Linked DNA regions of Drosophila melanogaster. The gene in region 3 interacts genetically with the main gene of each other region. Each region holds a gene or a part of one and is shown on either strand. Other genes may lie near its edges. The genes, in order: CycB, Cenp-C, pim and gcm.

What was found.
Region 1: of pim (region 3) and CycB, changing one suppresses a phenotype caused by changing the other (phenotypic suppression), as found in Drosophila melanogaster (one study listed by BioGRID).
Region 2: of pim (region 3) and Cenp-C, changing one enhances a phenotype caused by changing the other (phenotypic enhancement), as found in Drosophila melanogaster (one study listed by BioGRID).
Region 4: of pim (region 3) and gcm, changing one suppresses a phenotype caused by changing the other (phenotypic suppression), as found in Drosophila melanogaster (one study listed by BioGRID).

Annotation. Positions count from the first base shown.
Region 1 is NT_033778.4:22,802,955-22,808,497, forward strand, and holds CycB (cyclin B), read right to left. Parts: upstream 3,995-5,543; 5' UTR 3,728-3,994; coding exon 3,692-3,727; intron 3,546-3,691; exon of another isoform or gene 3,338-3,545; coding exon of another isoform or gene 3,320-3,337; exon of another isoform or gene 3,132-3,319; coding exon 2,986-3,131; intron 2,922-2,985; coding exon 2,713-2,921; intron 2,611-2,712; coding exon 1,706-2,610; intron 1,637-1,705; coding exon 1,340-1,636; 3' UTR 567-1,339; downstream 1-566. UniProt on the Drosophila melanogaster protein: Essential for the control of the cell cycle at the G2/M (mitosis) transition.
Region 2 is NT_033777.3:8,562,321-8,569,771, forward strand, and holds Cenp-C (centromeric protein-C), read left to right. Parts: upstream 1-1,784; 5' UTR 1,785-1,934; coding exon 1,935-1,936; intron 1,937-2,008; coding exon 2,009-2,516; intron 2,517-2,577; coding exon 2,578-3,912; intron 3,913-3,975; coding exon 3,976-5,410; intron 5,411-5,479; coding exon 5,480-6,118; intron 6,119-6,189; coding exon 6,190-6,332; intron 6,333-6,398; coding exon 6,399-6,507; intron 6,508-6,567; coding exon 6,568-6,632; 3' UTR 6,633-6,928; downstream 6,929-7,451. Other genes in the region: mRpS18A (mitochondrial ribosomal protein S18A), read right to left, coding at 92-188; CG31460 (uncharacterized protein), read left to right, coding at 563-566, 623-1,044.
Region 3 is NT_033779.5:10,361,185-10,364,626, reverse strand, and holds pim (pimples), read right to left. Parts: upstream 1,639-3,442; 5' UTR 1,529-1,638; coding exon 1,489-1,528; intron 1,426-1,488; coding exon 1,102-1,425; intron 1,039-1,101; coding exon 803-1,038; 3' UTR 535-802; downstream 1-534. Other genes in the region: Cand1 (Cullin-associated and neddylation-dissociated 1), read left to right, coding at 2,120-2,164, 2,230-2,613, 2,672-2,961, 3,043-3,205, 3,266-3,442.
Region 4 is NT_033779.5:9,578,998-9,583,294, reverse strand, and holds gcm (glial cells missing), read left to right. Parts: upstream 1-1,549; 5' UTR 1,550-1,702; coding exon 1,703-2,100; intron 2,101-2,175; coding exon 2,176-3,292; 3' UTR 3,293-3,730; coding exon of another isoform or gene 3,731-3,784; 3' UTR 3,785-3,797; downstream 3,798-4,297. Other genes in the region: CG31709 (uncharacterized protein), read left to right, coding at 3,731-3,784, 3,848-4,202, 4,264-4,297. UniProt on the Drosophila melanogaster protein: Transcription factor that induces gliogenesis. It determines the choice between glial and neuronal fates. Also has a role in the differentiation of the plasmatocyte/macrophage lineage of hemocytes.

The DNA.
Region 1 (5,543 bases), on a different chromosome or scaffold from region 3:
CTAACGAAAACTATTTGAAATATTCGTTCGATAATTCGCTTATATGTTTCTTAAGAACTTAACTATAAGGTTGCCTTTATTTGGCTTTGTATCGAGTAACTACTGTACATGAGAAAAGTGAGATAGACACCCACACACACACACGCACAACCATGTGCGAGCAATGTGCTCGGCAATTACCGTTGCCCATGGAACACGGTACCAAAAAAAGGGAGAGAAAAGCGTTAAAAAGGGAAGAAGGAAAGGGAGAAGCGGAAGAGAAGTAACTGACCTGCGATCGGGAAGGTGACCTTCCCCAGGGGCGCCGACTATACATATGTTTGTATGTATGTACATAGGTGCAGGGTATACAGAGGTATATCACTGTACATATATTGTGTATTCAGGATTGATAAGAATGCAGGACAAAAGGACCTCCGTCCTTGGAAAAGGGTCTGCGTTCATCTCAGGCTGTCTGGTTTTTTTAGGGGTGTGGAAAATTTCTCACACTTATCAGCTGTCGGAAAGATTTCAAAACTAATGAAGTCACATGGCGGCACATTGCATGCAAGGTAAACACGAATATTGTTTATAAAATTATACAAAACTTTATTTTCTATGTATTGTTCAGAGACATTTTTGGGAAACATCAGTTAGTTAAAACGTGTTTTAATCGTTGCTTAGTGGTAAACAATATAACTAGCATAAGTTGTTTTTGTATGAATGTGCGAAATACATGATATAAATTACAAATAGTCTACGTCTCTTTTTTATGCGATTTATGGGAATAATTTTGCACAATTTTTTGGATTTATTCATTCCCATCGAAACTAAAAACTAACGACAAATACAATTAGTGATAGGTAGGTAGGGGATGAAATGATTTCACGGGTACAATTATAAAATATAATTCTTGGAGAGACAACGCCGATGTGTTCGGCCAGCAAATGAACTCGTTGCCCACTCTCTCTCTCGGTGTCCACCGCTCCGCCGCTCGCTCCCACTGAGATGGTGACCCAGCGAAAGGAGCTGACGGGCTCCAGTTTAGTTCGGTTCCTAGTCTTACCGGAGGAACTCACTCCCAGCGGCCGGCTCGCGAGCAACTTGTGCTCCGTGGGCAAAGATGCCGGAGCCAGCTCTTGGCAGTAGCCGAAAACTGCTCAAGGGACTCCAGCAGATTACGATATCTTAGGGATGGGTGATGCAGGTAAAGATAGTTGGCAATGCGACTACGGTAACTATACGCATTTTTTAACGAACACGAAACGAACAGAAAATGAAATACGCTACAAATTTAAAAATGAAAACAAATTAAACTAAACTAGGTAAGTCAGGGTCTTCCAGTCCGCCTTGGACCGCACTATTTCCTCTGGCTCTGGCCCACAATCGAGTCCATCAGCGCACCGGTCAGCTCCGTTCGCAGCGCGATCTTCTGGAACTTGCTGCCCTGGTACTTGTTGTAGATGGCCTTCAGCTTGGCCTGAGGAGCGTCCCGGGCCAGTTTCGCGATCAGCCGGGTAATCGGACGCAAGTGCGCGGCCGAGTATCGCGAGTAGAAGGTCAGAGTGGGCGTCCAGTGACGGTCGTTGAATCCTGTACCGGCCCGGTGGTTTCCATTGAGCAAGTGCAGCGACAGGAACAGTGAGGCAGCTGCAATCTAAAGGCGCCGCAAAAAATATTACATATACCTATGCTAAATAAAAGGGGATAGTGTATTGAAACCCACCTCCGATGGCCTGTAAGTGGCCATTTCGTAGTCCACGGAAGCTAACTCGATGAAGTACTTGGACATCGTATGGTGCTCGTCCTCGGCGCCAGCAGCCTTCGAGTAGCGTCGAAGGAAGTGAATCGGCAGCGGACGCGACAGATTACAGTCGATGGCCTTGAAGATTTGCAGCTCCATCTGTCGGATCTGCCGGGCAGTGTAGGTGTCGTCCGTGATGAAGACGAAATCTCCGATTGCCGGCGGGAACAGCTCCTCGTACTTGGTGGCTATGAAGAGTGCTGTCACTCCCACCAATTGCAAGTACGTGCGTTTGGTGTCCTTGACCACCTGCAGGTAGCGATCAATGATAGCCACCGCCAGCTGGAAGGTCTCTGCAGCCAGATGGAACTGCAGGTGGACTTCGTTGATCCAATCGATCAGCACGGCTCGCATCTTGTGGGACACCTCCTTCTGTCCGGCCAGGTGATCCTTGTGAATGGGCTGCTCCAGCTCCACCTGATACAAGTAGTCGTAGATGTCGTTTACATATTCGGAGACCAGTACCAGGTTCTCCTTGTCATTGGCATCAATGTCCTCGATTCCAGCCAAGCGCTTGCTGGAAAGGGACATGGTGGTGGGCATCGTAGATGTGGTCGTAGTGACTGCACTGTTGCCCCTAATAAGGGGCATCCTGGTCGCATCCTTTTTCACTTCCAGTGAGTCCTTCTTGGTTTCTGGCAGTTCCTTCTTGGTCTCTGCCTCTTTGCGGGAAACAGCTACTGGTTCCCGTCGAATTCCTGAAACTCCCATCACGGGTTTGGCCAAAGCGGCACGCAGTTTGGTCAGCGACTTCTTCGACAGATTGCTGTCCTCGCGCTTTAAGGTGGGCTCGTTCACGTTCTCGGAAGAACTGGACTTGACTGTAACTTTGGGGATTCAAGATGAATTGGGGTCAGTATGATGCAAGCCATTCAAAAATTGGAAATGGTAGATGATGATGATTGGTAGATGATTGCTCTTTTGCTTACCTTTAGTGGGTTCTACAGTGGTCTTGGTCGGAACGCGATTGCGCACCGAATTCGAACGCAAAAACGCCGACACGCCCCCCTCGTTGACCTTGGGCGGAACGGCGCCATTGCCATTGCCATTGGTGCTGCCCAGTGGCTGTTTCTTCCAGTGGCTGTCCACCCGAGCTTTGGCATTGCGCAGGGCGTCTGTGAGCTTGAGATCCTTGGAGCTGCTCGGTGGAGTAACCACATGTGATTGCGAATGGAATACTTGATACTGGTTCAAACACTTACTCTTTCTGTGCCGCATCCTTCGCTGCGATGGGACGACTTATGCCGCGATTCTGCAAATCGCCCAAGGCCGCGCGTTTTGTTGTTGCCTCCATGGAAGGAACCGTCAATTTCTTCAATTGCACTTGCTTGAAGTTCTCCGAAGCGTTCTATCGAATATTGTTTAATTAGTTTTAGAAAACAAATGGAGAAGTGCAACAAGTATAGTTGAATGCATATCTGCACTTTGAACCCTATTCTTTAACATCTTTAATTATTGAGCACTGATTTTAATTATTTTAAATTGTTAAAGCAAGATCAGTTTGTTGCATAATAATGACTTGATCATGAAATGCACCTTTTCAAGGGCGGCCATTTTGGGAAAAGCACCGCAAGACTGATCCTCGATTTATCTCCTCTGTGATTTGGTGCGAAAAATAGGTGTGGAGAGTACTAATTAACGGTGCAAGCACCGCCGGTAGAAAATTGCGCCAAAATGTGAGCAAGGCAACTGCAACAACGACAACAATGAGCGCCCGGGACAAACGGCACTCTTTCTTTTCCCCCTCCCTTCACACACTCATCGCACTATCGCAGCGTCCTCTTTGCCCCTCTCTACATGACCACGCTGCAATGGCGTCTCGCTGATGACGAGCCCACTAGTTTGTGACTTTACCATGACCTTTTCGCGGATGCCACGGTAATCTTAATGTTCTAGGGATCAACTCACCTCATCGCCACGCATTTTCAGTGTTGTGCCCACCATTTTGATTGCTTCTTTTCTATCTGTACAAACACAATTAACACGAAGATAGGCAGACGCTTGGCTATCACTTGGTTTGGTTGACTTTTGATCGCGTTTCTGTGACCGAACGCTTGTTTAGCTGTTGAATTTGTTGTCCGAATATATGATTACTAATAGTTTATAATTTACAAGTCGAGTGCGGGATTGTCAATTCTCCGAAAACCTGATCGAGTTTTTGCACACGAAGCGAGGCCAAGCTGCCGTTTGAATTTGAAAATGGGAATGGGGATGGAAGTAAACTCGATGATAAATGCCGATGAGTTTGACGATATCGATTTCTGGACTTAGTTCCCTTTTAAGCCGCAGTGGCGCTCGAGAATAATCGATTTATTAGAGCAGAGCATGCAAAATAGAGATGCGATACGTGCGATAATTTTCGATAGTTTTAGTGTGACCAGTACTGGTGCACAGCTTATCGATGACAGGGCTGAAACAGTGCTACCCATAAATTTCAAATTTAAATTTAAAATTAGCCGAAAAAGAAAACGTTACAGTTTGAAATTTCTGTTAGATATTCAAGCTCAATCCATTTTATACATATTTTAAAAATGAAAACTTCATGGATTAAATTTGATAGTTGGTTAAGGTTCCCCATTTTAATAAAGCCATCGCTTTGACTGCCAGTCGTCACTCGGTTGCACCATCCATTGATTGCATCAATTAAAAGTTGATCACTTCAATTGGCTGTGTTCGGTTTGTTTTTGTGCCCCCCTGATTTGCATTCGCTGATTTAAGATTTCCTGCTGCCACAGGCCGCAGAACATCGAAACTCCGCGGCGGAAATGCAGCATAATTCTTGCCACTCCGCAGCCTTTTTTGCTGATGATCAGTGTCAAGTTTTCGTCTGCTCCATCATTTTCAAGCACTTGACCACAAAACAATCGCCATCGCCTCAGAATTTTGCCTCTGTTTTTGTTTAGTACCCCAAACTCTCCTGTTTTTTTTTTGTGGCCCTTTGCTGCGTCTTAACGGTTGGCGCATTCTTCTTCTCTTCTTCCGGCGCTCTGGCTCATTAGCATATATTTATGAGTCTGTTTGCGCTCCAAAAGTACTTTTGCGAACTCCGGCCAAAAAGCCGAACGAGAATGGAGCGCCAGCCGACGATCGCGAGCTCGAGTTTTCCGTGATTTTCACATTTCATTCGCAAAAGTGCCGCCGTCGCGAGTGGTTGCCTCGCTCTCGCCGCCTCTTTCTGCGCTTCTGTCGCCGTCTCTTTCGTCGCCACGAAAAAAGTCCTTCGATCGATCCAACGCGCATTGACCTCCAGTAAATCGTTTCAAATTTTAAATGCCCCAAAGCGGTCAGATTTCGGCGTGATTTAGCGATTTTTAGTTAAAAAATATACATATAAAGTGCTTTTCGGCTATGGACATAAAACCAGAAGATCGTTATGCTCCAGAGCCGATGATCTATATGCCGTGTGTGTTTGTTGCTGGCTGCTTAATTGTGCGCTGGCGTTTAAATAAAATCAAGTGCGTTTAAATGACAAAAGACTGGCATTATATGTACAATATATTGGCAATTCAGAACTGGAGCTGGAGCTAAAATAGCATTTTTCAAGCACCATTTGGTCTTATCTCGAGTGTCGATCCATAAGGAAGAACTTAGGCAACAAACTAAAGTACACCAGCCACTAAAATAAAACGAAACATAAATAAGATAGAGTGCAAAAAAAAAAAAAAAGTGGCCCACAACAAATGACTCGTAATGCAATGCCTGGGCAATTAATTAGTGCATAAACATTTGAATTAACAGCCGTAAAAGTTGGAGCCCCGTA
Region 2 (7,451 bases), on a different chromosome or scaffold from region 3:
ACAGGCATTGAACAGAAATTCGAATTAATTTTAAAGATGTGCATTTATTTGAGGGGTTATGAAACACTTCACAGAGGTCTCTGTAACTCACTCTCTTTTATTTGCCTTGGCATTGTGGTGGCTACGCCACGCACCTGAGCAATGGTACTTCGTACTGTCCTGGTGGCCAATTGCAACACAAAGGACATGTTGAAGGCGTTTTTTATTTACAATTTATTAAAATTGTGCTCAAGTGTAATGTTGTTACTACAAATGTCATTCACCACGAAAGCCGCAGCGTTGCCACATCAATTGATTTAAATATTACTTCTCAAAAAAAATTATCGATGTCAGTATTTAAATAACGATATCTGTTTTTATTTTTATTGCAAGCACAAATTTGTCATTCGAGAATTTTTCATGTAAATACGTAAAAAAAATAGAGAAAAATGCCTGCCTAACGAATAAAACTTTGTTTAGTCGTTACATACTGGAATATCCCTTGTATTATCAAATATCAGTTTCGATAGTTCGATAATTCACTACACGTATAAGAAAGACGCCGGCTGGAAGAAAAAGTAATATGTGTAAGCAAATGCAAGGAAATTACGGCCAACAAAAACTAAACTCTGAACCTTTGCAGCCGCTTCAGTGAGCAGTAAGAGCACCGTGGTATCCTCCATCATCTCGGGCCTCCTGAGCATTGTTTTGTTCGGCACACTGCGTTTCTGCTCAGAATGGTTTAACGACTCGCAGCTGAGGGTCCTTTTGGGCGGATACCTCTTCTCCTGGGTGTTCATCCTGAGCCTCACGTGCGTCTCCAACGCGGAGATGGTTGTTTTCGGCCAGGACTTCCAGGCCAAGCTGCTACCAGAGATTATTTTCTGTCTCTCACTCACGGTGGCCGCCGCGGGACTCGTGCATCGTGTCTGCGCCACCACCAGTGTTCTCTTTTCCCTGGTGGGGCTCTACTTCCTTAACAGGATCTCCACGAAGTATTACTCCGTTCAGGTGCCCAGCGTGGATGCTCCTACGACGAGAAAGGGCGGAAAGAAGTTCAAATGAACCATTCGTCTGCTTCTTATTTCATTACTAACACATTCGAATACCTAATCTTTAATAACCTTTAATAAATAACTAACTTATAAAGTCATGTCAATCGGTCACTTTGAAGCTATCCAAGCTCCATTATTACAGTTGGCCAGCCTTATACTACTGAGTATTGGTGCTGTGGAATAGGGGATCTTATTGGGAATTCATGAATTCAGTTAAAAAACTCCAATCTCTGGTTATATGGATATCGTAATCCTTTTCCAACAGAATCAAAACCTCGAACGCAAAGTCGTTTTCACAGCGTCTCTATTGCATGCCTTCTCGCAGAAAATGTATAGCTCCACTTTTTGGTTGCTTTTCAAAGCTGCTTCCAGTTGTTATAAAGTGAATTCGAACAAATAGATCAATCTGAAAAGTCGGTTTAGTTTGCTTTAAACATTTTGGATTTGTTTTGTCAACAAAAATTGCCGGCAAAGTGTGACCAGCTTGCGTTTTACGCGTTTAGTATATTTTAGTAATGAAATACTGCATATAATGGTTGCCTGCTGGTCAACGCTTTCGAGTATATTTTCAATAAAAACTTTTGAAATAAACTCAGCTGTATTTAACAATAACTGTTTAAAAACGATTGCATCATGCATTTGTAATTATACAGGGTGATGTCTTATTATTATCAAAGAAACTTTTAGATATTTATAGCTCTTTTCTGATAGTCTATTCGAGCGCTCTGGCAACACCCCACCTAGGCGCGCCTACAGACGTTACTGGCAACGCCAAATGAATAGCGTCGCGTCTTTTTTGTAGTTTAAAATTTTGTGGAGTTTTAGCGAAATAAGTTAAGTTTATTGTTGTCGTGTATGTAACTTCGTGAAGAATCCTTTTTTCAAGTTTCAATTGCAAATATGTAAGTTGCCACCGCGAGCATGCCATAGGCAAGAGAACATACAAACTCCGAGCTCACCCGTCTGTTTTTCAGGTCGAAGCCCCAGAACAACGACACTCTGGAGCTGGACGACATCCTAAGCCAGCCAGTGAAGGACAAGGAGCGCTTCGCCGCCTTTATGATGCGCAAGCTTGCCGAAAATAAGCCGGCACAGAATGACAATCTCTTTGGAAACTTCAAACTTGACTTTGACCTTGATTTCGAGGTTCCACTGATCAAGAAGTCTCAGGCTAAGCCCAAGTCCAAACTACCAGAAGTACAGCCCCTTGGGGAGTTGGTCAGCAAAAACAGTGCCGCCACCGAGAAAGTCAATGAGCCGCCTGTGGACCAGGCCCCCAATGAGAACGTGCCTCCGCGTCGATCGCCAACATTGTCGCCCAATAACCGACGTTCCATGCGCCGCAGTGGAAATGTACCCGGATCTGATAAACTACGTCGACATGCCATCCGCCGGCGGTCCAGGAGCTGTGGACGCCAATTGCTTCCAGAGTTTGAGGAGACCGTAAACTTGACCCGCAGCATATCAAGTCCTGTAAACTTCGTATGTTAAATACATGTCCCACAAATACCTAATCCTTGTACTAACAACAATGCTCTTTTAGTTACCAGAAATAAGCAGCACACCTTGCACAGAGAAACAAAAAGAGGAAGTTGCCAAAAATACAACAAGAGTGGAAACTGATAAACCAGCGGAAAAACCTATGGAACTATCACAAGAACCAGAGCCGGAAAATCCGCTGCAGACAAAGGTGACCTCACCTGCCAGGAACCCTATTCTTGCAGCTGAAATTGAACAAATCTGCAAAGAGCGACAGAGTTCCTTTCACAAGAATGTACTGCAGCTGGACTATTCTGGACGGGCACCGTACTCGCGACCCCCTACTCCGTCATCACCATCCGTTGCGGGCCTACGACGTACCTACACAATGGAAAAGGGCCCAGCTCCAGGCCAGCTGCTGCTATCGCCATCACATCGCTATGACACACCGAGCAAAATGCCAGTAGTTAAGGCAAAGCGGTTCAATCAGGAGTTAATGGTCCCGGACACGCCAGAGCGACAAAGTCACGACCCAGCCTGGCAATCAGAGCCCCAACCGGAGTTCGTAGTGCCGGAAACCCAGCCGCAGGATCTGGGAGAGTTGGTGCAGACTCTGTCGCGCAGCGCGATCAGCCCAATTGTGGTGATAAACACATCCAATTCGAATCGTAGTGTAAGAAGGGACGCTGTCGCAATGAAATCTGTTCCGACTTCGCCAGTTACGGCGTTATCTTCACCACCGATTGCGCCTTCTCCTAGGCGATCCGCCGCTGCCTCTCCCCAGAAATCCATTGCACAACTGCCGCGGGTGGAAGAAAATATGGATGCCATAATGACCGACGACGAAAGCGACGAACATCCCAGCACTGTGCCATTAAATCTAGCTCCTTCAGGTGGGAACACAACCCGGCAACGGCGTTTGCGCAGTAGTAATCGGGCTCGAGCTACAATCGAATCTCAGGAGAGCTCTATGCGCTTGCTTAACCTTCACAAGTCGGTCAATGCCAAAAAGTCAAAGCCGCGAAAGACTGCTATACCGCTGAATAAGGCTCCAAGTGCCCCCATTAATGGCGAGCAGTTTGCCCGCGAGCTAACCCGGATGAGCAACTACGAGATTTTGGATTTGCGCAAGCGCAACTCGTTGAACGAGATATATCCTTTAAATGGGCACAGAAACCATCGTTCAGAGAAGCTTATCCTAGAAGAAGAGATTCAGAGGGAGCTGCTACGTAGAAATCTAATGGATGAGGCCGAAGGTTTGCCAAAACAACAGTCCTCGGATGATTCGAATGAAGACTATATACCGGTTCCGCCAAAAACACAAAGTCTTCGAACTAAAAGCAATGATCGATCGCAGGGACGAGGGCGACCACGATCTACTCGTCGTGATCTTCCAATGGTAAGTTCAAGATCGCTTATATGTTGCGAAGGAAAAAAAAAACCTTTTTTCCCCGTTTTGCAGACAACAGAATTGGTAAACTATTTGGGTCTCTCCCAGACTTTAGAGACTCGACGCAAATCTTCAAAGGACGGCAAGCGTTGTCTGTACACAAAGGGTAGCTCGGACCATGAAGATAACGATTCATTATCACCTGTAAAATTGCCAAGACTAAGCAAGAGCATCCAAATTGTTCCGCCACCTCCAGTTTCACTGCGCTATTCGCAATCTTTGCAAAATCTGCCCTGCTCCGGAAAATTTGATTTCGATAATGTCGTGATGGCAGCCCCACCAGATTTCCATGATAGTGTAAATAGTGATGCAATTGAGATTGCTCCCCCGCCTCCAGAGTACGTTGTAAATACACGGGGCAGAAGCACAAGTGGGCGAAAGAGCAATAAAAATGACCTGGTTTTACCTCCACCGGGGTACGAAGGGGGCCAGGAAGAAGAACATGATGAGCGACCAAGCCAGCCGCGTTGCACAGCCAAAGAACTTCAACAATCCACTCAGAATGGACGAAGGGCGATGGAGAACGAACTGGTACCACCTCCTATCGAATATGTTGAAGAAGAGAATCGCAACAATGAGCAATCAAGGAGATCGACGAAAAATGGCAATCTTGTTGATCGAAATACACATAACGCAGTAGAATATTGTGAACCGCCAGAGCCACCAGAGTACGACGATAGTGACCATGGGCAAGCAAGTATACTGAGGAGAAGTGGAAAAAAATTGCAGCACTCCAAACAGAGTGTACAAAAGTCCAATAAGGAACAAATTATTGCACCTTCGTACGAAAATAACGAAGACTATGACAGTGACGAGGAACCAATTTACAATGAAGAATACGGAAAAGAGGAATCTCAAAATAAAAATGTCACTAGAAGAAAGAGCGATAAGGATGAAATGGCATCACATACATTAGAATGTATTGAAGGTCCAGATCCAAATTGGAATTCGTCCTGTAACAAACAGAATCGTAATCACCAGAACGCATCAAAAAGCAAAGAAAATGATAAGTTAGCCAATCGTTCATCTAAGTCCCAGAAACTCTCAAATCCCCGCCAGAATGCAGTTGGTACAGAAAAATCCGTAGCTCTAAGCAATCGAGGGGAAGAATGTACCGAGAAATCATCAGACGTTATGGAATCACTTCGCGTTAACACACCCACTCCTCCGATTGATCAAAACTCAGATGATGTTCCCAGCAGAAATCCATCTCCCAGTAGGACTCTTTTGTCTGACGACGTACCCAGCACGAGTAGAGCGGCGTTGGAGTTTTTGCAGCGTAGTCAGAACATGTCAAAGAGTCGTCCCCCGGATGAATCAAGCGCGGATGTGGTGTTCAAGAAACCATTGGCACCTGCACCAAGGGCGAAATCAAAAAAAGGGAAGTCTGAAGTAGACAAATTAAAGCTGGCCAAAATGCCGGTGGAAGCTGAGGAACTAAATACTAGTGAGTATATTCAATAATAAATGTTTTGATAAAATTAAATGTATGCTCTATTATTTTCTGCTCCCTTAGCCGGTATTCGGAGATCAAAGCGCGGTCAAGTTCCACTTCAGATGAGTTGGTGTCACACCATGGATCCTAGCAAGTTTAACTTTATGAGTGGCTTCATAGAGCCTCGCAGCAAAAACTCAAAGACGAAAAAGGGAAATTTGAGTAAGGCGAAGAAAGCCAGTGCCACAAAGCCAAAGCCTACTGTAGAGAAGAACTTACCCGACAACCGGGGACCATTGTGCAGCAGTACCCCAAGAATTTCTGAAAAGCTGCCAGGGGCCATACCGCATTCCGAATCCCTTGGCCTGAGTACCTTGACGTGGGAAGAAACTGAAGTGCAAGCAGAGGCTGAGAAGGTGCCCAAGAAAAGGGGACGACCAAAGAAGGCAGTTGGAGGTGTCCAAACTGATACGGAGGCTGAGCCAGAACCAGAGCCAGAGCCTATGATATCTTCGGTTGCTCCACTTACAAGCGATCAGGAAGAGCCTGACGTTCCTGACGAGCAGGCGCCTTATACGGAAGCTGCGCTAGGTCCCGTCGTATTTTCAACTCCCCTGAGAGACGAGCAGGAAGAAGCCTCCACTAAACTGATGCAGTGGCTGCGTGGCGTCGGCGATGCACCACCCAGTGCAAGTATGTCGGATGAAAACGCCAGTGTCTGTAAGTGTAAAATCTATAGAAATTGAATCCATATAGCTTATTTATTAATAATTGCTATTTTTCATTGCCAGCTTCTGCAAACGAATTGATTTTCTGTCAGGTAGATGGTATCGACTACGCTTTCTACAATACAAAGGAGAAAGCAATGCTGGGTTATATGCGATTCAAGCCATACCAAAAACGTAGCATGAAACAAGCGAAAGTCCATCCACTTGTAAGTAAAATATAAGATTATTCCCATTCAACTCGCAGATCATTTTAAAACCTATTCTGCTTTTAGAAACTCCTTGTGCAATTTGGCGAATTTAATGTGGAGACCTTAGCCGTGGGCGAAGAGAAGGAAGTCCATTCTGTTCTGCGTGTTGGTGACATGATCGAGATAGATAGGGGTAAGATATTGCTGAATAATATTTATTATATATTATTTGAATGTTTCTTTTCTTCCTTAGGCACTAGGTATAGTATTCAAAATGCGATAGATAAAGTCAGTGTGCTGATGTGTATACGCAGTTAGTAATTGCTTTGTAATTTATATACGGATAAGTATTGAGCCGATTTATATTTCTTACGTTTTCGCCACAGAAAATAAAAATAATAAAGAGTTGTTTTGTTAAAATATGTAAGACCGACATAGTTTTTTCATGTATTTTAAGTAGCAAAGGTGATAGACCCACGCCATAACTTCGGGTCATATCCTAGCTGCTTAGAATTTCAAGTTCATTTTATTTCCATTTTCTTTGAAATTCACAAGTCGCTCGCCGTGATGTTGATGGCATTGGAGACTTCAAAAGCGAAATGGCAAACAGGGGTAACAACGCCAGAAAGAACAAATAAGCAGGCAACTTTCAAAACAATCTGCACGTCTGCTTTGTATGGCAATTTTTAAAAAAGCACACACACAAATCACACGCAGCAGGAACACAAACATAAATTTGTAAAAAAAAAAAAAACAAAACAAAAATTGAATCAACAGAAACTTTTCCGGCAGGTGTGCCAGTGCCTGCATCCCCACACGGGACTTGGAACATCGTTTAAAATTAACAAAACACCATCTAACATTCATTACAGCAGTGTCAACCCTTTGATCATCCCACACGCCGCACTCTATTACGAGTTTCCCGGAAAATACCTTGCAAATAAAAGGAATTAATAGAACGATTTTATATATAGATAATCTTATATATATTCTTTAGTTCACTTGATTGGTTTAAAATATGTTAATGGGAAGCTAAAAAACTAAATATTTTATATTCACATGCTTGCACATGTTCTCGGTTCACATATTTTCGCCGAGTGTGCACAGACAATTGAATCGGAATTTTTCAGGTCTCGC
Region 3 (3,442 bases):
GAGTATATGTTTATTTGTTAGATTTATACCTCTTTTGCATTTACATTTCGTTTTATACACTCATATTGTTAATTTTCACTTTTATTTTATCCAGGAGAACGGACCACTAAGGTCACCAGCGAGACGAGAAACCTTTCTGCAGCAATGTAAAAAAAACTGGATACATTACTGTGCCGCAGTGTTGCCAACTGTTGGCCACCAGAAAAAAGCCAGACGTCATTTAGCGGGAAAAGGCTAACAAGATGCAAACAAAAGCTAGCTAGCTGGGAAAATATTTTGGTTTACTGAACAAAAATGTTTAATTCCCAAATAAATATAAACTTTTCATATTAGGCAAACACAGAGGAAACCCTAAAAATAGATTAGAATTATTCCACCAAATATCAAATTCAATATAAACGGAGTGAATATACTTAAGCCCCGCGAATGCTGATAAATATCAAGAGACAAAAGGTGGAAGCAATAAACTCTGTTTACATTCACAACTGAACTCCAAAGCTCCATAAATTAATCTCCCAGTTAGTTTTTATAGTTGCTTTAATTCAAAATCACTTCCAAACGAGGTACATCGTACACATATAATTGCCTGTTGGAGGCTTAATGTCGGTTCTTAAACTACTAAATATATTGTAGCGTAAAAAAAATATTTTTCACAAATGTGATTCGAGACAACAAACTTGGATAGCTAATGGTATAACAGTTTCTCTTAGCATAACATTAATAAATAATTAATTAGTAGTACAAAGATACCTAGCTAAAAAATATTAAACTACAATTAATCATAGAACTTTTAAACAAGGATCTAAAATAGAACATCAATGCCTTCCAAGTTAGGCAATGGGGGATATAAATTTAATAAGTATTCAGGCTCTGCAGGCTCCATGTTTTCTGTGTTGTATATGTATGGCAGGTCAGTAAAATCTAGGGGCGGAAGGCATCTGTTTTCCAAATTATTTTCCAATGTGCGCAGATCAAGATAAAGTTGATCCAATAGTCCTTCATAGCCCTCTTGATTTTCCGACCAGGTCTCTGTGACCGCTGTAATAATACAACTTATAGTACAATTTTCAAGGGGAGTTGTTTAATATGAGCGGTACTTACGCTTGCTGCAGTTCTTCAAACATTTCTCGTTCGGAAAGTCAGTGTAGTTGAACAAATTGACGACTCTGTATTCGCAATTCAATACGTAGGCGCCCAAAAAGCAGCTATTTGTTTTATACCTAACTTCCTCGCGATCCCTGCTGACCACATTTTGTTTGGGGGCCTTTCGCAGCGAAAGCTTGGCAATACTACCCTCGAGTTTCAGAGAAGTGCTTTTGAACGGGGTTATTCCAGGAGTTTGGTGCATCACATTGTCAAGGTTACCAAGAGGTTTCTTCAATACGGAATTTGTAGGAACTCCATTTTTAATGGGATTCGCTGGCACTGCAATGATAAATGGCTATGTAATTACTAACACGAACGGGAGTCGAACCTAATTCAACTTACAATTAATGCCGGTGTTTTCCTTGTTTAAAATCTGATCCATTTTGTTAGCATTTATTGGTGTTAAAAAGGTATTTTGATTGAATTCTAGCAGTGAGCTGCGGTTTAGTTTAAAATAATTCCTGAAAACGAGCGGCACTTTTCTAGAGATGGGAGACTCTTAGTGCCACATAGCTGATATATCGTTCATCTGAAACGATGGTAATGACACAAAGTATTTTACTAGTAAATAAATTGGGAATTAATATTTGATAATATATATATTTATATTTTGATTGTCATGTATTAACTCAAAAATAAAATAACCTAAATATAAAAATTTACTAGTACATAAAATCTTGTTCCAAAATATTTCTCCACCGTATTTTATACCACGAAAATGTACCAAAACCATTATCGGCATCCAAAAGGCATTAGGGATTATAAAGTGGGTTTTTTAGTTTTTCAAAGTGGGCCCACTTAAGCAGCCTTTATAACAAAATTGAGTGAATATAAAACTTGGAGATTCAATACCGGAAAAATTTCAGTAAATTTTCAAGTTTTAGAACACCAAAAATAGGGCAGCCCAATACAAATACACAATATTTCACTTATCAGTTAATTGCTATCGATCGAACGTTTCAAAGCCTTCGCTATGGCGTCACATCAGTACCACCAAATTGCCAATTTGCTGGAAAAAGTATGTATAGAATTTCATTTTTGCAACATAACGAAATTCTAATTCCGCTCTCTCGTCTGCTGCAGATGACGTCGACGGACAAGGACTTCCGTTTCATGGCGACAAACGATCTGATGACGGAGCTACAGAAGGATAGCATCATCCTGGACGACGAGTCCGAGAAAAAGGTGGTGCGAATGGTGCTCAAGCTGCTGGAAGACAAGAACGGCGAAGTTCAGAACCTGGCTGTCAAGTGCCTGGGTCCCCTGGTCAACAAGGTGAAGGAGATCCAGGTGGAGACCATCGTGGACTCGCTGTGCGCCAACATGATGTCCAACACGGAGCAGCTGCGCGACATATCGAGTATTGGCCTAAAGACAGTGATTGCCGAGCTGCCGCAGTCCTCAAACTCCCTGGCCCCAAATGTCTGTCAAAGGATCACCGGCAAACTGAGCACAGCAATTGAGAAGGTGCGTTATATTGCTATTCCCTAGGCACCCAAACGTTTAATCCGTTGTTCCTTAATAGGAGGACGTCTCTGTGAAACTGGAGTCGCTGGACATTCTGGCCGATCTGCTCTCTCGCTTCGGGGAGTTCCTCGTTCCCTTCCACAGCACCATTCTGAAAGCTCTGATGCCCCAGTTGGCCTCATCGCGCCAGGCTGTTCGCAAGCGTACCATCGTGGCCCTGTCATTTCTGCTGATCCAGGCCAATAGCAACGCCTACAACGGTGTCATCGATCATCTGCTCGATGGCCTAGAGAACCCACCAAATCCAGCTGCCATTCGAACTTACATTCAGTGCCTGGCTTCGATATGGTAAGTTCCAATTCCTGAAATTGTTATATATTTTATGCCATATGATCTTTAGATGCAATTTTATTTAACTTTACTCTTTAGTCGACAGGCTGGCCATCGACTTTGCAATCACATTGATCGCTCCATGCTCCTGCTGAGCCAGTACAGCCAGCGGGATGACGATGAGCTGCGCGAGTTTTGTCTGCAGGCCTGCGAAGCTTTCGTCATGCGCTGCCCAGATGCCATAAACCCGCATATTCCCATGGTAAGGAGTACACATGCTTTATGTTCTCATTCACGTTTAATAGCTTATGGGTTTTGTTAGATCCTGGAGCTGTGCCTCAACTATATCACCTACGATCCAAACTACAACTACGAGACGGATGATGGCGACACTGGCAATGCCATGGACACGGAGGATGATGAGTACGTCGATAGTGAGGAGTACAGTGACGACGACGACATGAGCTGGAAGGTTCGTCGCGCTGCAGCCAAGTGTCTG
Region 4 (4,297 bases), 780 kb from region 3:
GTGATGTCTCGTAATTGAAACGGAACAGTTAATTCCGGGCATCATTAAGGCGACACACCCACCTTGAGTGCGGGAATCTGGGACCAGGTAGGATGTGCTTCCCCAGCACAGCCTCATAATATGCCACGTCATGACTTTCTTCTGTGTCAACGCCCCTCGAGTCCCGGTCGGAGCACCCTTTCCCATTGTCCGCCGTAATCCTTTGAGTTCCTATCGCGTGCTACGATCCTGATCTTTGGGCGACTCCTTGGCAGAAAGGCGCCGCGGGTTGCTCGCTCAGTTCGTGTCATAATTGCATGGCATTTGGTCTGTCGTGGAAGTGTGAAAATTATGGAGTTTCCTCACCCTTTCGTCATCTTAATGATTATGTTTGTTTCGTTTATCTCTGACTTGAGATCGCCAAGGGGCCCAAGGAATTTGTTTGGCAAACTTTGCTTCATTCATATGCGTGAGTTATGGCATTTGCCTTTGGGTTTGTAGGGGAGGTTTTCCAATATGGGATTTCTTCTTTTTGATTTCCGTTTTTTTGCGTGCTAAATTGTGTTTTACGATTATGAGATCCCTGATTTCATCTTGAAGATATCGGCAGGAGCTCGACATTTCGGTTTCTTTTTTTGCAAACGTTTATTTCTTTATCGATTTTGAGATCGTGAGAAGTAGTTCCGTTAGCTATACCGTTGCCTTACCAAATTCTATAATAGTGACTATATATAGTGGTAATATTTCTATATTTCTGTGAGTCATTTCCATTAAAATTTACGTTTGATTTTGAAATTTTTTTACAGAATAATTTCTACCTCTGAAGTTAAGTAGATTTAGCAGCTTTAATGTCCGCATTAAAAAAGTCTTAAAGCCTTGAACTAAATTACTTTCCGTGCTTCGTTGGAACCATCTCCATTTTGTTCGTAACTCTGCTTGCCCTCCAACCATTTCACTTTGCTCCCCATTTCGACATCCACATCCAGTTCGAAAGTAAATAGGCCCGACCACTGGCATCTGCCAGTGACTGTCGCCAGGTGTACCCATCAGAACCCATGCCATACAGCACATCCCCATCCACACACAGCCCCATCCCCATCTCCATTTCCATTACTGATGTTGTAAACTTTTTTTCTGAACTTAATTAGCTTTGACTGGGGTTGGGGCCGTGTTCTTTGCCATCGAGTGCCTCAAACCCCTGGTTCTCATATCGTACAATTACCCAGTGGAGCGCGTGCTGCAACCGCAGGTGCTAGAGCAGCACAGCACTCGTCTCCCTGCCCAGTTGCCAGTTCCCAGCTCCCAGCTCCCTGTGCTCAAGCTCTCCCAGCTCCCAGTTCCCTATAGAACGAATTCTCCATCTCCAGCTGCTGCTACCACTACTACCAATCAAACCTGCTCGGGAACTCTCCTAATTTCCCAAACTGGAGTGCCGGATAAGGCGGATAAGCCGCACACAAGCGCACCCGAACTGGAAGTCAGCATGGACCAATGGGCGTACCGCTTTGCGACCGAGCAACCCTCGTGCGATTCGACCGCTGGCAACTTAACTGTGCTGCGCAGAGCGGGCCCAGTTAGTCAGCCTTGCGCAGTCGATGCGAACGGACGCGTCGCTCCAGAGAAAAGTTGAGAAGAAGTACACAGTAGTAATAGACTATTGAGAAGGAAAACTATAGTGACCGCGTGTGAACTTGAAACTAACGATTACATAGACACATCAAAAATGGTTTTGAACGGCATGCCTATAACAATGCCAGTACCGATGCCAGTGCCCATGCCTGTGCCCAGTCCTCCGGCCACCAAGTCCCGGGTGGCGATCGACTGGGACATCAACGATTCCAAGATGCCGTCGGTGGGGGAGTTTGACGATTTCAATGACTGGTCCAACGGACATTGCCGGCTCATCTACTCCGTGCAGAGTGATGAGGCCAGGAAACATGCCAGCGGTTGGGCCATGCGAAACACCAACAACCACAACGTGAATATCCTAAAGAAGAGCTGCCTGGGAGTGCTCCTCTGCAGTGCCAAGTGCAAGTTGCCCAATGGAGCCAGTGTGCATCTGAGACCCGCCATTTGCGACAAGGCCAGAAGGAAGCAGCAGGGCAAACAGTGTCCCAATAGGTGGGTTTTTGACTAAACACAAAATCCAAGAATTGTCAAAACTAACTCGGTATTTTTATTTTTTTTTCTTGACAGAAATTGCAATGGTCGCTTGGAAATCCAGGCTTGCCGCGGCCACTGCGGCTATCCAGTGACCCACTTCTGGCGCAGGGACGGAAATGGAATCTATTTCCAGGCCAAGGGCACCCACGATCACCCCAGACCCGAAGCCAAGGGATCCACGGAAGCCAGGCGACTTTTGGCAGGAGGAAGACGTGTGCGAAGTTTGGCCGTAATGTTGGCCAGGGAATCGGCGCTGAGCGACAAGCTGAGTAGCCTGAGACCCACAAAACGGCAGGCCAAGACTCAGTCCATCCAGGAGAGCAAGCGCAGAAGGATGGGTGCTTCCGATGTGCTCGAAACCAAGCAGGAGTTAGTGGTGCCACCCACCACCTACCTGCCCACATCGACGCCCACACATAGCACCAACTTTAATCAATCTCAGGGTTCATATGTCCCAGCAGGACAAGGATCAGTGATCAGTCAGTGGAATAGAGAGATTCACTACGAAACGGAGGATCCATGCTATGCCAATGGAATGTACTCCTACGATATGCTCCACTCACCTCTCTCAGCGCATAGCTCCACGGGCAGTTATTACCAGGAGAACAAACCGCAGCAACTGCAGCACTCACAATACCAGCAGCAACTCTCACCGCAGCAACATGTACCAGTCAGCTATGATCCCAGCCAGCCAATCTCCTCCAGCCTTCAGTGCGGAATGCCTTCGTATGAAATATGCGACGATACGTCCAGTTTGACCAGCAGCTCGGGCTACTGTTCCGAGGATTATGGCTACTACAATGGATATCTACCCAACTCGCTGGACGTGAGCAATGGAAGCCAAAGCCAGAATCTTAGCCAGGATGCAAGTTTCTACACAACCAGCTCGGAGATCTTCAGTGTGTTTGAGTCAACTCTGAATGGCGGAGGGACCAGTGGCGTGGATCTCATCTACGACGAAGCAACCGCCTATCAGCAACATCAGCAACAGGGAACTTTTCCGCATCTCACCAATTATCAACAGGAGCCGCAGGATCAGATGCAGTCCGCCGACTACTACTACAGCAATACGGGAGTGGACAACTCGTGGAACATTCAAATGGACGCGACATATCACCCAGTCAACAGCACGGATCCCATCTATTGCTAGGGGATCGGGATAAGATCTCTCATCGCAACTACTATTACTGAGCCACTCAAGCGTTGTTCTAGTCCCTAGTTGATTGATTTCCATTCATGTTCCCATTGCTTGTTGGTCGTGTATTATTATATATTGAACGTTTCTAGTTTGTACTTTTGTACTTGTTTCCCAGCTATTCCAAAGTTTTAGAGCACGTAAGAGTAATAGTATTCTTAAGCACATAGAGTTTTAAGTCACATTTCCCACCTATTTATGAACTTTTTTGTAGTAATAAACATTTTTGAAAGAAAAACTTAATCGAAGCAGCCTTTTTTTGAGAATTGACACGTGTCAAGCAAGGGAGCTCGTAATCATTGTCAGTATAACATTACCAGCGGCAGGATATACAACTAGGGATTTTCCTCAACAACAAGTTTAAATTCGTTAGTCAACCAAAATCGTGTAACAATGGGTGCTTGTCGCCCTAGAAAATGTAGTGCAAATAACCGAACTATGGCAATTGTGAGTACTAAATAAAGGCCTAAACAAATAACAATGAATAAAACCAAATTTTGTATTGAGAAGCGTCGCCGTAGAGCTCTAGTTAACTTGCTATTTTTGCGCCGTCATTTGATTGGACAGGCACTTGGAATTACGAATCGGGAAACTCCAGACCTTAGGGTAAAATCGCGGCGACGCAATCGTAGAAGGAGAATGCAATTCAGAGTCCGTACACCAAGTGATAATGCAATGCGCTCAGTAAGGCATCATGGACAGAATCCAATCAGCCCAGGATCACGGCTACAACGAAATAATCCACTTTGGGGACACGCCGACATTATAACCACAGATAGAGCGTTGGAAGCTTTAAATGGACTTACTACAGGGAACAGGGAACCAAATGCATTGTCAGTAATGGTGCGATATACCAATGGGCGGTGTAAGTTGAGCTGTACTTATTGCTAATACAATGAAGTGCATAATTAATACTCTCTTATTAGATTATTTAAGCTTAGAGCCAAGTGGAAATCAGCA